Linked DNA regions of Neurospora crassa OR74A. The protein of the gene in region 2 binds, or shares a complex with, the protein of the main gene of each other region. Links are inferred from orthologs where the notes say so. Each region holds a gene or a part of one and is shown on either strand. Other genes may lie near its edges.

What was found. The genes of interacting proteins can lie anywhere in the genome.
Region 1: the proteins of NCU02036 (region 2) and NCU01695 are in contact, whole or in part, in an NMR structure (PDB 6GC3), measured with the Saccharomyces cerevisiae proteins. The link is inferred for Neurospora crassa OR74A from reciprocal best matches to the Saccharomyces cerevisiae genes SEN1 and NRD1. Residues at the interface, in NP_013534.3 of Saccharomyces cerevisiae: Asp2052, Asp2053, Asp2054, Glu2055, Asp2056, Asp2057, Tyr2058, Pro2060, Ser2061, Ile2062, Ser2063; in NP_014148.1 of Saccharomyces cerevisiae: Asp19, Leu20, Lys21, Ser22, Ile24, Ser25, Gly26, Ser27, Arg28, Lys30, Tyr67, Asp70, Ser71, Arg74, Lys123, Met126, Leu127, Ile130, Arg133.

The regions. Positions count from the first base shown.
Region 1 is NC_026502.1:2,698,808-2,706,200, forward strand, and holds NCU01695 (RNA binding protein Nrd1), read right to left. Parts: upstream 4,349-7,393; 5' UTR 3,386-4,348; coding exon 3,257-3,385; intron 3,181-3,256; coding exon 2,935-3,180; intron 2,722-2,934; coding exon 2,619-2,721; intron 2,528-2,618; coding exon 1,471-2,527; intron 1,415-1,470; coding exon 1,246-1,414; intron 1,193-1,245; coding exon 677-1,192; 3' UTR 250-676; downstream 1-249. Other genes in the region: cit-1 (mitochondrial citrate synthase), read left to right, coding at 5,997-6,104, 6,174-6,238, 6,324-6,517, 6,606-7,393. UniProt on the Saccharomyces cerevisiae protein: Plays a role in sequence-specific regulation of nuclear pre-mRNA abundance.
Region 2 is NC_026501.1:1,603,657-1,610,941, reverse strand, and holds the start of NCU02036 (tRNA-splicing endonuclease), read left to right. Parts: upstream 1-3,245; 5' UTR 3,246-3,791; coding exon 3,792-4,174; intron 4,175-4,241; coding exon 4,242-7,285. Other genes in the region: NCU02035 (helix-hairpin-helix domain-containing protein), read left to right, coding at 1,063-1,261, 1,316-2,835. UniProt on the Saccharomyces cerevisiae protein: ATP-dependent 5'->3' DNA/RNA helicase required for the expression and maturation of diverse classes of non-protein-coding RNAs like precursor tRNAs, rRNAs and small nuclear (snRNA) and nucleolar (snoRNA) RNAs.

The DNA.
Region 1 (7,393 bases), on a different chromosome or scaffold from region 2:
AGAGTTGTACAAACACAGCGCGATACGTAAGCTGGAGAAGCACAATACCGCCAATGTTAAACACGTTCTCGAAGAGACTTGACCTTGGTCTGGATTTCTGTCATATGCCGTCCGAATGAGAGCAGACACCATCTTCAGTAGTACTTATTCTAGCTCGGACATTGACCACAGTGAATCTGCAAATAGATCGTTATAATATGCAGGATTAGGTTGGACGAGGCGCTTCTCAGCAAGGACTACAGTAGAATACAAGAAGTGTACGTTTGTTCTCACTAAGGTTACCAATTATCATACCGGTTTTCAGAATGGTAAAACCGTCAAGAGACATCTAACGAAAGAGAAGAGATAAAGTATACAGTTGCGGAAGGATCAAAACCATCAAGCAACCCTCTGCTTTGAAGAAGAACCAGATAGGATACACCGGACCTAGAGCAATACCCTACCGCTGCCCCTCTACTAACGTAGTGACCCAGAAAAAAGAATACCAATACGCCGCAAATAACGATAGCCTCCGGCCCCATAGCAGTAACTTTTTTTTTCTCCATGGTTCTTTATCCATCTCAAGGGGTATCTCCTCCCTTAACTGATCCCTCGCCTGTGTGCTCTCTCTTCAGATTCGTCTTCCTCAGCTTTTCCCTGGGCCTTTATCTCCGCGAGCCAGCAGGAACCGAACCCTTCAGTTGTTGGACGTGCTGTTGGATGTGAAGGCATAATTGGGAGGAAAATTGATGCCGTTCGGTCCAACAGTGATGTTTCCAGGCAAGCCCATCACAATCGGGTCATCGTTGGCTGCATTCTTGTCATTCCGATCGCCGCGTCTGTCATCGCCACTGTTATTGCGATGCTTCTCGCGACCATGCCGCCAGCGGTTACCGGCAGGGGGCGGTCCACCTGCGTTCCCAGTAGGATGCTGGGGCTCCTCATCTCGGCGGCTTGACTTGGGGCCATGGTTACCCCCTTTGTCTGTCTGCATACGTCGACTGATGGCTTTTGACGAAACACCTGCGCCAATCTCAATGTCTGGCTCCTCGACAACAAGACCGGTGGTAATAGGTTGGCCACCACTTCCGCCATAGGGTGCCGTCAACATCCATTTCCGGTCGGCTTCGGTGAGCTTATGAATAGGAATGACACTGATCCCAGTCTGGTAGTCACTGCAGTCACGGGGGCCAAAGCCAACACCCCAACGAGTCTACAAAATCGTTAGTTGGCGACCAATAACGAAGATATGAGTCGCAAACTTACCCGCAGCTGGACGTCGGAGCCTCTGTTCTCTTCCATGGCTTTCTTTGCATTCTCAGCATCTTGACGGTAGTACATCTTGACAAAGGCATGTCTTTTCTCTTTGTTGACGATGCACGTTTGTACTTCGCCGTAGCGACCAAAAATGGAGCGGAGTTCGGCTTCGGAACATCTACATGTCTGTCAGTCAATGCACATATAGGCTGGAGAACAGCTTGGCAAACTTACGTCACACCACCGACAAACAGCGTGCGGCTATACACCTTGATGTGACCATTGGGAAGAGTAGGATCGTGTTTGACCCATTTCTCGGAGGGCGGCTCCTGACCCGGGCTCTCATGTCTACGGTTGGGGGGCGACCGTTGTCGGTACTCGGGAATACGCATATCCCGGTCTCTACCACGATCATCCGGATGGCCACGGGGCGGGGTGCTCCGCCCATAATCAAAGCGATCGTTACCGCGGGCTCGAGGCGACCCCCTGACATCCCAGCGCCGCGGCGAGCGTGAGCGAGAGCGACCCCGAGGCCTATTTGGAGACCTCATCCCATCATGATAGCCATTACGATCACGTGATTCATCATGTCTCACGGCCTCCCATGCAGGGGCAGCAGATACACCGCCAGCAGGGGGAGGAGGAGGATAGCCGGCATATAGAGGCTGAGCAACGGACTGGGGAGGTGCTGCCGGGGCGGTGCCACTTGGTTGACCCATCAGCTGCATTACACTGGCAATCTTGTCAAGAGGGATGCCCTGGGCGGCGAGGGCGGCGAACAGCTGAACCGTCGTAGCGGTATTCGCACTAGGGGCTGCTCCTGGCACTTGCACAGGCTGAGCTAGCTGTGCGGCCGGAGCTGGGAAGCCAAATGGCATCGTCGGTGGCATGTTCACCGACTGCCCCGCCGGCTGCGATGCTGATAAGTACGGCATACCCGGGTGCCCCACACCGGGAAGAAATCCGGCTGGCAATGCTCCATTGCTAGGCTGGCCAGAAGTAGCAAACATGGGATGCGGCGTGGAAGAAGTAACAGGAGGAATCTGCGGGACCCCCATTTGTACCGGAGAAGGGGCCACAGCCGCAGTTGCGGCCGGGGCGGGAGCAGGGGCGGCCGCGCTGGAATTACTCTGAGCCGCATTCGCATTCAAGCGGGCAAGATTTGCTAAGGTCTCCAGGATGTTGGACGGCATTACGGCGGTAGTTGTAGGCGTAGGGAGAGGTCTGCTAGTGGCCTGCAAGGAAGCCAGCGGGTTGGGAGGGGGACTGCCTGGTGGTGTTGTCGAGACATCTATCGGCACACGCTACAGTTAGATCAGGCAAACAACGAGCACCGCACACGCGTAAGGGAATATGCTTAGGAGGATCCGGGCAAAACCTACTGTGCTGTTGATGAGCATTCAGCTTCTCCTTGAAGGTGTTGACCATATCGGGAGGAAACGTCTGGCCCTTTTCCCATATGTCGACCAGCTTCTTGATCTTCTCCTACAAGACGATACGGGTGTGAGTTTATGAACAACATGATACTGGACACTAAATACAACCAAAAATGGATGCACGATATGGTCTAGGAAAGTGAAGACGACTGGTGTGGCCTGATCTTACAGCCGCTCCCAAGTGTGCTCGGGGTCTAGTCCGTTTGGCAGAAATGGAGGTATAAGTGTAAGACGGCACATGAGTGTGCGGTTGTGTGCGTACCTTTTGATCCTCGGGGGCCGAAGAGATGATGGCGTTCATGAACATGGGCATTAGTTCAGTCACTCTATGGACACCGGCAGCATAGGTGCCATCCTGTGCACCAAGGGTGACGGGTTGTTCAAGGGCCTTTGCCTTCTCCAACCATTTGCGGGTTACAGAATCTACGACGTATAGGACGCCCAGCTTGTGAGTGTTTGGTGTCTTCTTGTAGTGGGTATATAACTTCTGAACCAGCTGTGATTCGTACTGTCGAAGGATGTGTGGTTAGCTCTGGTGCCTCCATCGTGCATACTGTCGAGCCCAGACACGGCGCTTTTCTTACCTGGACGTTGTTCAAACACAGCATGGTGAGGCTATTGATTTTCGAGCCAGAGACACCGGGCGGTTTCAGGTTTTGCATGTCCCCGAGGCCCTTCTCTAGTTCAGCTACGGCCGCCTGTGACGACAACATGATGGATGATTTTTGTTTGAAAATCGAGCAAGACCAGCTGAAGTCGGCAATCAACTTGGCCGTTGGGCTTGGAAATACAAGCTGCGATGTAGTACGGTTGTGATACGGTGAAGGCTGATTAAAGGTTTTATGCCAATACCATGCTCCTTTGTCACGGGTGGAAAGACGGAGTACGTTGATTAAGGCTCAAACAGGTCGGCATCCAAGGTCTGCTTTCCTTGCTTCTCGACGTATATCACCGAGGTTACGAAGCTGCAATTTGCCCGCGCCACCGGGTACTCAGAAGAGAGCAGCTTGTACGAAGAGACTGTCCTTTCTGTGCGTCTTAAGACAAGCGCAGAAGCCGTAGGCCAGTGCAAAGTCCTAGCAAAAAAAAGAGAAGCCGAGAGGCCAGAGATATATGTTGCTGGCCGGCGTGTGTGCGAGCAAGAATACGGTGGTCCTTTTTATTTTTCTGACGTGACGCGCGAAGTGGAAACCACCAACTGGGGATAGCTGTGACGACGTGCAAGAACCGCAACGAAAGCAGCTGTACGAAGGGCAGACAAGATCAGGACTTGACCTGCGCGGATGTGATCTGGGCGCACCCTTTTACTGTGAGGCTACTAGAAAGTGAGAAAATCCAGGTGAGCGTGTGCTGAGTCGAGATGCATGGACAAATCCTGGGCGACTAGTCGATTACTGGATTGCTGGATTGACGAAGGCGGTCTCCGTTGGCGTTTAAGATTATTTTCGCTGATGACGACAAAAGCGTGATGTGGTGGTGATGCGAGAAGTGAGGAGGGAGTTGGGGTTGGAAAGCGGGGAGAAAGAAAAGTTGTCGTTGCAGAAGTAGAAGAAGTGGACTGGACGGGGGAGTGCCAGTGGTCGGTGGTTGGTGCAGGTATGGGTGGGTACTCGGCTGTAGTGGCTGCCCTGATCTTGACTCTGCTCGAGTCGTCTGTCGGGTTCGATTGCATCCGTTCGTCGCTTCGGTTTGCCTGCCCTGCTGCCTGTGTGCTGTGCTGCTGTGGCACCGTGGCTGTGATGCGTGGCCCGAGGGGAGGAACGAACTGGCAGGCACTTTTTCGAGCCACCCAATCACGCCTTGATTGGTTCGAATGACCCGCCTCGAACTGTTGTGACTGAAGGCTCGGAAAACCTTCTTTTTACAAGCAAACGAAAGCCTTGCAGAGAGGTGTCGGACGTGTTGTGGCCTGACGCACGTACCAAGAGCATGAGGCACTAAGGCAACAAAGCCGAGACGGATTGCGGTAAATTAGGAACCCCAACCGTTGATCCACATCCAACCTGAGATTGGATGAAGCCCTTACTGGAGTCGGTTGCGTGCTCCATCCGACTCTCCATGCAACCCCGAAGGTTCCACGAACATTGATGATGAGCGTTGAGTGTCGAGGACGTGCTAGGGAACAGATTGTGCAGGCGGGTTCATCTATTATCAATCCGTCCATCAATTGGCAATTCCAACATTGTTTTCTGGAAACCCGGAGCAGGAACGTTTCCACACCTGTCAAAAGGGGCGGCTTCCCCGGATGAGTTAGGGATCTCGCAAGGGCCAAGTACATACCTAGGTAGTCCCAAAGGCCCAAAGGGTGCCGTGACGTCAATGCATGCCGGTGTCGACATCGATGCGAGTGAACAAGCAGTTTTGACATCGCGATGTTGAGGTCTGGTCTGACAACCGCTGTCCCTCGAGACACATGCGATTGCAGAGACGCGCACATGATGTCGGTGCCGCAAGTGTTCAGCGTGGTCGTGTCCAGGTATTCTTCCGGTCTTCCGTCGTCGGCCATCCTTTTACCGCGCGCATGGACGGGAGGAGACTTGGGAACCGAAACACACGTGTGGGAGCCGCCCCGCGTTCGATCCTTAGAACGGCGTCAGCGACCCCCTGACCCGCTCGAGCTCGGCAGCTCGGCCAAGCTACCTCCACGTACATCCGGATAGAAACATTGAACCTTTGGCCCGCAGAGTTCCATGTTCAGCTTCATGATCCAAATTGACCACATTCAGGGCCGGATATTGTATCCATCAAAAAACGGAGATTTGGCGCCGGCCTCTACGGTGATTACGGTGTGGGCTTCTCCAGTCTCATACTCGCGGATTCGCGAGGGAAGAGGAGCATCTGCCTGTCTACGAGTCGGCCATTGTGGATCAAGCAGCGTGTCGTGTCACGAGCATCGCGGCCCGGTGTATTGTACAATACAACAACTTCGTGAGAGAACTGGCCCGAACACCCCGGTCCACTGGCCCGAGCAGAGTGGGAGCCCCGCCTATTTGCTCCCGCCCGTGAACATTATTGGATCCAATTGGCACTGGCAATTGCGGGCAATTCGCATCCAGTCGGGGCAGGCCAATCCCCCGGCAGGAGCGACGGGAGCAGAGCCCGCCAAAGCCACCTAACGGACCTCTGGACCTGCCCTGGTTCGCTGGTTGCGACGGCAGGTCAGGCATATTTTCCCACGCATTGCCTGCTCCCCGGCTGCGCTTTTTTTTCAAGCCCGTGCCGCCTTGATTGCTTCAACCTGAACCTTTTCCCTTTCTTCTCTCCTTTCCGTACTGTTCCTTTCTCCTCAACCACACCACATCCCGTCCTCCCACTCAGTAAACCATGGCTCCCGTTATGCGCCTGGGCTCCGCCGCCCTGAGGTCCTCCATCCACCTCACTTCTCGCCAGACTGCCTTCACTGCCGCCAGATGCTACTCTTCCAAGACTCAGGTAAGGCAGTCTCATGAGCCGGGGACACACTGACATCATCCGCTGACCGCGCTTCTTTGGCCGTACTAGACTCTCAAGGAGCGCTTCGCTGAGCTCCTCCCCGAGAACATCGAGAAGATCAAGGCCCTCCGCAAGTAAGCTCTACCTCTGCCTCGGCATAAGCCGTCGATAGCTTCTCGACTCGTCTATCGTGTTGCTGATCTGTCCTGCCAACCTCAGGGAGCACGGTTCCAAGGTCGTCGACAAGGTCACTCTCGACCAGGTCTATGGCGGTGCCCGTGGCATCAAGTGCCTTGTCTGGGAGGGTTCCGTCCTCGACGCCGAGGAGGGTATCCGTTTCCGCGGCAAGACCATCCCCGAGTGCCAGGAACTGCTTCCCAAGGCTCCCGGCGGCAAGGAGCCCCTGCCCGAGGGTACGTTCACACGCCTGCGCGCCTTGCCAGGACCATGCACCGTGAGATATCGTGTTTAAGCGGTCTTGTGTATTGACTTGATACGCAGGTCTCTTCTGGCTTCTCCTGACCGGTGAGGTCCCCTCCGAGCAGCAGGTCCGCGACCTTTCTGCCGAGTGGGCTGCCCGCTCCGATGTCCCCAAGTTCATTGAGGAGCTCATCGACCGCTGCCCCTCTGACCTCCACCCCATGGCTCAGCTCTCCCTCGCTGTCACCGCTCTCGAGCACACCTCTTCCTTCGCCCGTGCCTACGCCAAGGGTATCAACAAGAAGGAGTACTGGGGCTACACCTTTGAGGACTCCATGGACCTCATTGCCAAGCTCCCCACCATTGCTGCCCGCATCTACCAGAACGTCTTCAAGGGCGGCAAGGTCGCTGCTGTCCAGAAGGACAAGGACTACTCCTTCAACTTCGCCAACCAGCTCGGCTTCGGCGACAACAAGGACTTCGTTGAGCTCCTCCGTCTCTACCTCACCATCCACACCGATCACGAGGGTGGCAACGTCTCTGCCCACACCACTCACCTTGTCGGCTCTGCTCTCAGCTCTCCCTTCCTCTCCGTCGCTGCCGGTCTGAACGGTCTCGCCGGTCCCCTCCACGGTCTTGCCAACCAGGAGGTCCTTAACTGGCTCACCGAGATGAAGAAGGTCATCGGTGACGATCTCTCCGATGAGGCCATCACCAAGTACCTCTGGGACACCCTTAACGCCGGTCGCGTTGTCCCCGGTTACGGCCACGCCGTCCTCCGCAAGACCGACCCCCGCTACTCTGCCCAGCGCAAGTTCGCCCAGGAGCACCTCCCCGAGGACCCCATGTTCCAGCTCGTCAGCCAGGTC
Region 2 (7,285 bases):
ACCTTGGTGACTGCGGAATCTCTCTGCACGCTTCTCAGCATGGCTCAGGATCATCGTAGCATTCGACCAAGGCGCACTTCTTTGGGACCGACAGCGACTGGTTTTTAATACGGGCTTGGAGTTGCGAGACTGGCAAGAACGCGATGCCCTGATCCATGCCCACGCTGGCGAGGGTTAGGGGTAAATCAGGACCAAGCCAAATGTCGTAGAGGTAGTGTACGCAGTAATGCCGCCTCGGAACATCCCGGTGCCGGCCCCACCGATTGCGCCCCCACTCCCGCTCACGTTCAATTTTCGCAAACTTCAACTTGCTTCTGTCGTTCACCTCCATTCCCATTTTCCCTCTCCCGGACGCAACTTTGAGCTCTTGATCTTTGGATATGCAAACAACAATACATGTATGTATTGCGCTGCCAAAGACATGCAGCTGAGAACAGCCTTGTAAAGCCAAGGCATCTATACTAAGGGTGAGCTACCAATTTCTTTTTCCATCATCAACTACCTCCCTTTCCATGATGTTTTGACAATTATCAAAACCTTGACTGCCTAGCATTCTGCTGCGGAGAAAAATGTTATCTGAATCTTTGGATATCTCATACCTCGATGTATCACACTTTGCGTTGCTGAACTTCTGCTAACATCGTGCGGTGTTTCAGTCTGTAAAAGTAAAACGCGAAAGCAAGTACACTAGTACTTCTGGGAACTGCTCATCATGGTTGCAAAGATACCCAGCCAATGCCTTTTTTTTTTGCTTTCCCATTACCAAGCCCTTGTCATAGTTAGCAGTCATTCAGTCATGAATAAACACCGGATTACAGATGAACTCTTGATGTCACAGTGCCGATGAAACATTGTTCCTGCACGTTCATCCAGCAGCTTCCTTTTTGCCACTTGGGGAGAGTTGCCCGCTACTTTAACGTGTATCTCCCTGTTTACATTCCACGCCCATTGTTCGCTCCTTTTCAAGCGATCGCTCTTACTCTATACGCACACAATCATTGTTCGTTTTCCTAGCTAGCAAGTGGAACACTACTCACAAAGCAACTTGCGTCGATCGCTGCGATGAGAATTCAAACCCGTTCAGCCGCCAAGAGGCTCAAAGTAAACACCGAGGAACACATCGTGGTTGCGAACCCCCTCCAGAATCCGATCCTTGTTCCAGATCATGTATCTGAGACTATTGTAGCTTCGGTTGAGGCTGAATCCTGGACGAGAGGGAAACGGAAGCGGGGACATGCCACGCCGGCGCATCCTCTCAAAGGTTCGCTCACTTCTTTGCTCTCGATTTCAGCCTGCTAATTAGTTGAGTACATAGGTGGTCGGGATGTCTTGCCTCCTAGCATGGGCGTTCTGCCAACCCCTGGTACAATTCCAGAGACACCAGATTCGCTGAGCAGTTCTTCCAATGCGCCGGTGCATTTAACGCGAAGTGTGGCCAAACGCCAGAGTCAAACTTCGCTCGAAACTACAAAGATTCGGACCGAGGATGTGAAGGCGCAGAAGACGCCGATCAGTATAGGGCCCCTACAAGTGACTAGACCTGATGATATCTCGGTACATCATACCCGAGGTGTGACCGAACGCCGGACCAAGGTTCAGTCCGCCATCATCAAGGATCGGACGAAAGATGCAGCTGCGACAGAAGCTGTAGAGAACATCATGGGCACTTCTCTGGATAACACTATTGAGGTGAACACCCCCAACGACGACGACGACGACGACGACGACGACGACGACGACGACAAAGACGAGGAACACACTGAACGGGATCGACGGGGTACCAGGTCGTCTTCCAAGAGGCCAAATACAGAAACCGACAAAAACCTCGATAGCGGCAATGGACATATTATTGTCAAGACCAGCAAGAAGGCAGCCAAGGTCACCGCCACAAGAATAGCCACCGTGGACCGTGACAGCCCTGACTACAGAATGCCAGTGAGAAGGGGCCCAAATAATCCCATGGGGTTCACGCCAGGGTTCTCACCCTACCCCAATCGTCAGGCTCCTACCTCTGAAGCATGCGAGGATGTGTACCGCGTCTTGGCAACCATGCATGGCAAGGTAGAGCAACCCAAGGAAATACCCAAGGCATCTTTGGAGAAGGCCGGATGTGGCGAGGTACCTTGCGTATTGGACGCCCTCCTCCGGACGCTGATTAGCGGCAACACACTGATGGCCATGGCGGACCGAGCGATCAGGAACGTAGCTCAAGAGTACGGTTTACGAGAACACGGCTCAGGCATCGGAAGCATCAACTGGGAAAAGGTTGCCAGCGAGCCAGAGGAAAAGCTGGCCCAGGCTATCAAGGTTTCGGGGAACGGAAACCAGAAGGCCAAGCATATCAAGCTAATCCTCGACATGGTTGCGTTGGAGATGGCGCAGATGGCAATGGAGAACAAGGGAACGGGCGGTAAGCGAGAAGTCGCCTTCTCAGAGACGTTGAACCTAGACCACATGCACACCGTCACCAAAGACGAGGCCATGGCCAAGCTTGTCCAGTATCCCGGTATTGGCATCAAAAGTGCTGCCTGCGTTACACTCTTTTGTCTTCGCATGCCCTGCTTTGCAGTTGACACGCATGTCCACCGGTTCTGTCGCTGGCTCGGTTGGGTGCCGGAGAAAGCGAATGCTGAGGACTGCTTCAGACACTGCGACGTGAAAGTGCCGGATCACCTCAAGTATGGCTTGCACCAGCTGTTTATCCGCCATGGACAACAATGCTTCAAGTGCCGGAAGGCGACAAGGCCTGGTACGAAGGAGTGGAGGGAGGCACCCGAATGCCCGTTGGAACACCTGCTGGACCGGGGGAAGGGAGGAGACCATGGAGATGGATAGACAGGGAACGCCGGAAAGAGTCGATTTGGAAGTAGTTGGTTTCTTTCCAAAAGCAATAATTTCCAGTCTGACTCTTTGGCCCGCCATAACTTGAGACCCTCTTGATACTGTTGTGACGGATGAAAGCTCCCTAGGCCTTTTGACCTCAATGTTCGAAGATTGGTGATTCATGGAAGAGATGGGGAGTTGGGCGAATCCGTACCATGATATACAAGTATGTAGGAGCTCTCCATCTGGCTACTGGCAACAGCTGCTGAGCAGCTGCCTGTTTCTGACCATCGGACCTGCCTGCCGCGCCCCTCTGCCCCCCCTGCAACTTTTAGCGGCCCCACGCACTTTAGGTCTGACGCGGTTCCTTCTGGATTGACGCGCAACAACAGAACCTAGGTTTCGTTACAGCGTCCATTCCTCTTCCTTTCCCAGGCACTGTGGACGCTGGCTCTGGCATGTCAGAGGAAGCTCCCGTCTGACAGCCGCACCGTCAACTCCAACATACAACAGGAGAACCTTCACCGATTGCTTGGTGAAAGAAGAACGGAGTCAGACTCCTTCACTGGCCTGGAACATAAAACCCCACGAGCGCGGATTTCTCTTCTGTCCTATTGGTATACAATTTTCCTCCAACCCTTTGTCTGTGGGTGCAAGCGATACCCGCACATCCATCGCCATCTCGGCCTTTGCCCTCCGACAAAGCATCACTGCTCGTCCTCGGTTGCCTGGAGCATCTTGCTTCAACTATTCTTGTCATTCTTTTGCCGCACAAGTTGTTCCTCTAGCATATCTGTCGCTCACCTCGAAAGCTTCTTGTCGATGCAAAGGCTTCTCTAAACCATTCCGTCTGCTTTGCGCTGAAGGTTGCTTCTTGCGACCATCGAAGCGCAACCCACTTCGCCCTCCAAGCTCCGTCAGCCTAGACAACCACCAGAAGCCATCACGTTCTTGAATCGACCGCCGAGATGTCAGACAAAATGGAATACCCAGAGCTGGGGACCGCGGACGTTCAGATGGCTATGATGGAGATGCATCAAGCCTTTGAAGAGTTTCCTCCAGACGCACATCCAATTTGCCCTTTGCTCAGCGACGATGACGATACGGACTACGCGTTGCCAGACCTCCCCGATGCGAACGGAACAACGGTGGCAGAAAAGCAAAAGCGAATCGCTGACGGGTTCGAGAGACGTAGAATTACCTACGGCCTTTCGCTTCTGTTGGTGATGCCAGAGGCTGGTAAATGGATCAACGAGTGGAAAGAGCGTGTCAACTTCTTTCTCACAAAATGTGACCAATGTGCCAGGACATGGCATAGGACACGCCAGCAATTCATCAGAGCCATTGATCAGTGCGTATTCGCAAAAACCTACTTGGTCCACCGTAGGCCTGGTGACCCCAGCTAATCCGATTTACAGATACACTTCCCGAGACAACGCCGAGCTCTTGCGGAATCTACAGAAAAACCTCGAAGCCTTCGATGAAGAGCGCATCACGCGCGGCCTCAAGAGAGCCAAATTCATCCTTGAGAGGGACGGTCCCATGCCGACTACGAAGCTCGTTAGAATCGAACTTTGGCCGTGTCTCGCCTTGTTCGAATCGCTCTGCTGCATGGCATACTTGAACACCAACAAAGCAAACCTAGAGATATTCAATTACGTATTCGAACATGTCCAGCCTAAGAAGCCGCTGAAGATGGTGGGAGGCGCAATTCCGACCATGACATACTTCCTTTTCGAAGAGTATCCGGTGCACAGGGCGTTTGCAGAGGCACAATGGCAACGGATGCTGCCGGAAAGCCTCACCGATGAGGAGTGGGAATGGGCTGTCAGAAGCGGCCTCAAGTCCCATATACTCGGCCATAGGGGGATACAGCCCCCGGCGCGGCTGTGTCGCTTTTGGAGCGGATTCCTCCTCATTTTGCGAGCTATGAGCGAAAAGAGTATTTTGGAAAACCTCCGCGGTATGGAAGTACAACCGAATGTCTACTTCCTTGCTCTCGAAAACCTCGGCACCAATAACGTCCCTGCTTTGAGCATGATACTGAAAGCACTTCGTACGCTAATGGAGCGTTCGTCAAAGGCTTTCTGGGACGCCTATGACCAAGTCACTCCGAGTATGATTGTGGAGGAAATCTTCAAGAGCCCGGCTTTTCGGCCCTTTTTAAACCAGTCTCTTGAGCCGGACATGATGGTCGAGGACCAGGAAAACAACGGTCAACTAATACCAGCGTTGGCAGAATGGGTCAGGGCCTTTATCCGTTCCCTTCCCTCAGCGCGGCGGTCAGACGTTTGCGAGACTCTTCTTCGGCATCTGTTCGAAACTCTCCGGGTCGACGCAGGCGCAGCCCCAGAAGCGAAGGCCACTTGCATCCTTGCTGGTCTGGTGACCTTGAGAGAATGCTTGGACGGCTACCTCAGCCTTCCATCCTTTGATACAGGAACGTCTCTTATTATGGTCAACCAGTTACTCAACAGAGTGATTCAGTACAAGGAAGTCATCATTGACGCGACCAGGCTCAAGGCCGCGGACAAGTACAACGTTGGCCTCTCACAGGCTGCTATAGCTATCATACAGTCTGCCCTGGCATTGGACGCGAAGGCGACGTTGATGGAGTGGGACGCTTTCGTTAAGGAAAAGCCTGTTCAAGATGCCGTAAACAGGGACTCTGGCGCATTGTGGGAGTCATTCCTCGAGCTCGTCTGGAACGGACAAACAGATCTCGCCAAGGCCATGTTGAGAGCTACGATGCCTCTCAGGAGTATCGAACGGTTTATCCCTAAGCGGAAAGACCAGCTCAAGAACGAGCATGCAAAATTCAACAGACGCTTTCAACAGCAAACGGCGGCAATTGGCAAAATGTTAGGCCGCCTGTCTGACTTCAACCCGGCTGATCTTGACAGTTTCTGCTCGGATCCGCAGAGTAACACCATCCAGCCCATCGTGGCGACTCTAATACACGGTGAGGAAGCCATTCGCGAAGCTGGCTTCGAGTTGATCAAAGCCATCACAGGTGAGATGACGCCATCTGAGGCCGTGAATAAGATGCTTGAGGAGTACTTCAGCCAGTTCCTGGAGGCCTTCACTGGCGCCGTAAACCATATCACCAACGCCAAAGACTCCAATAATCCGTGGAGTCACATGCAACACTTGTTGAAATGCTGTGAATTCGTGCTCAATAGCTTAAGTGATCCGTCTGTAGGTCAACTCAGACGCAAGACCCTGACCCCTGCGGAACATGCTATCGTCAAGGGATGGTGGGATTGCGAATGGAGAGCCGTCGGCCACTCGTTCGGATCCATGAGACTCTGGCACGTGAAGGTGGACAAGAAAGTCATGGAGGACTTTTGTCGTGATGTGATGGAACTTGCAGAGAAGCTCCTCGCCCAAGACGGTCTCATGGCTTCGGCACTTAGCAGTCCTCAAAGCATCTCGGCGACAAACGGTGACGACGGCTCAGAGGGCATGAAGTTGGTCCTGGAGCCGCCGAGAATACACTCGCTTCCCTTAGTGGACATGTTGCAACTCCGCGATAAATATCTTATCGCCGGTATTATCGAAATCACCAAGAAGTTGATCAAGCGTCTGCAAGACAACGGCATGGATCTTCCGCCAAAAACAGTCGCCTATCTCAACAATATGCTGAAGAAGAGGAAGATGACTGATGGGCGAACGGACTACCCCATAAAGACGAATCTCACCAACGAGCAACGGATCGAGCTACTCAAGGCGCTCGGGGACGATGCTGCCATCGAAGCGCAGTTCGTTGGTGGAAAGCCTGTGAAGCAGGAGGTCAAGCCGGTTATGAAACAGGCAAAGCTTGATTTCTCAAAGGCATCACTCAAAGACCACATTGCCTCGCTTACGCCTGCCTTTGAGAAGGCCACTGAGAGGCGGAAGAATGCTCTGTTGGAGACGATGAAGGCTGAGGCTCCAGCCAAGGCTCCTCCCAAAATCGACTCAAAGGCTGCCGACAAGATCAAGGAGGCTAGGCGGCTTGAGCGAGAAGCCAAGGCCAAGCGAGATGCTGAGGCCATCGCGAGGGCAAAGGCCCTGCGTGCGCCACCGAAGCTGGTCCAGGGAGAAGGCTCAGGTCTGGCTGGTGTTGCTGGAGTTCGTGGCAAAGACCACGCCCCAGTGCTGAAGGATGAGATCATGGTTGGTTCATCATCGGAAGACGAAGATGAGTCTGACGATGACGAGTTGATCACACTCCATGCCGCTGGAAAGAAGAATATGACTGAGGCCGAGCGTCGCGCCCATCGGTTGTTGGCTGAGAAGATGCGCGGACCGGTGAAGAAGGTCAAGATCGAGCGGTCCGCCAAGGATATGCGCGCTCGCCTTATTCCCCCTATGGATGTGTTGCACCAGGCCATCTTGGAGTGGGACATCTTCCACGAAGGTAACGATCCGCCGAACGGGTACCGTTGTGATCACGTCTCGGATACCTACCAGGACCCGG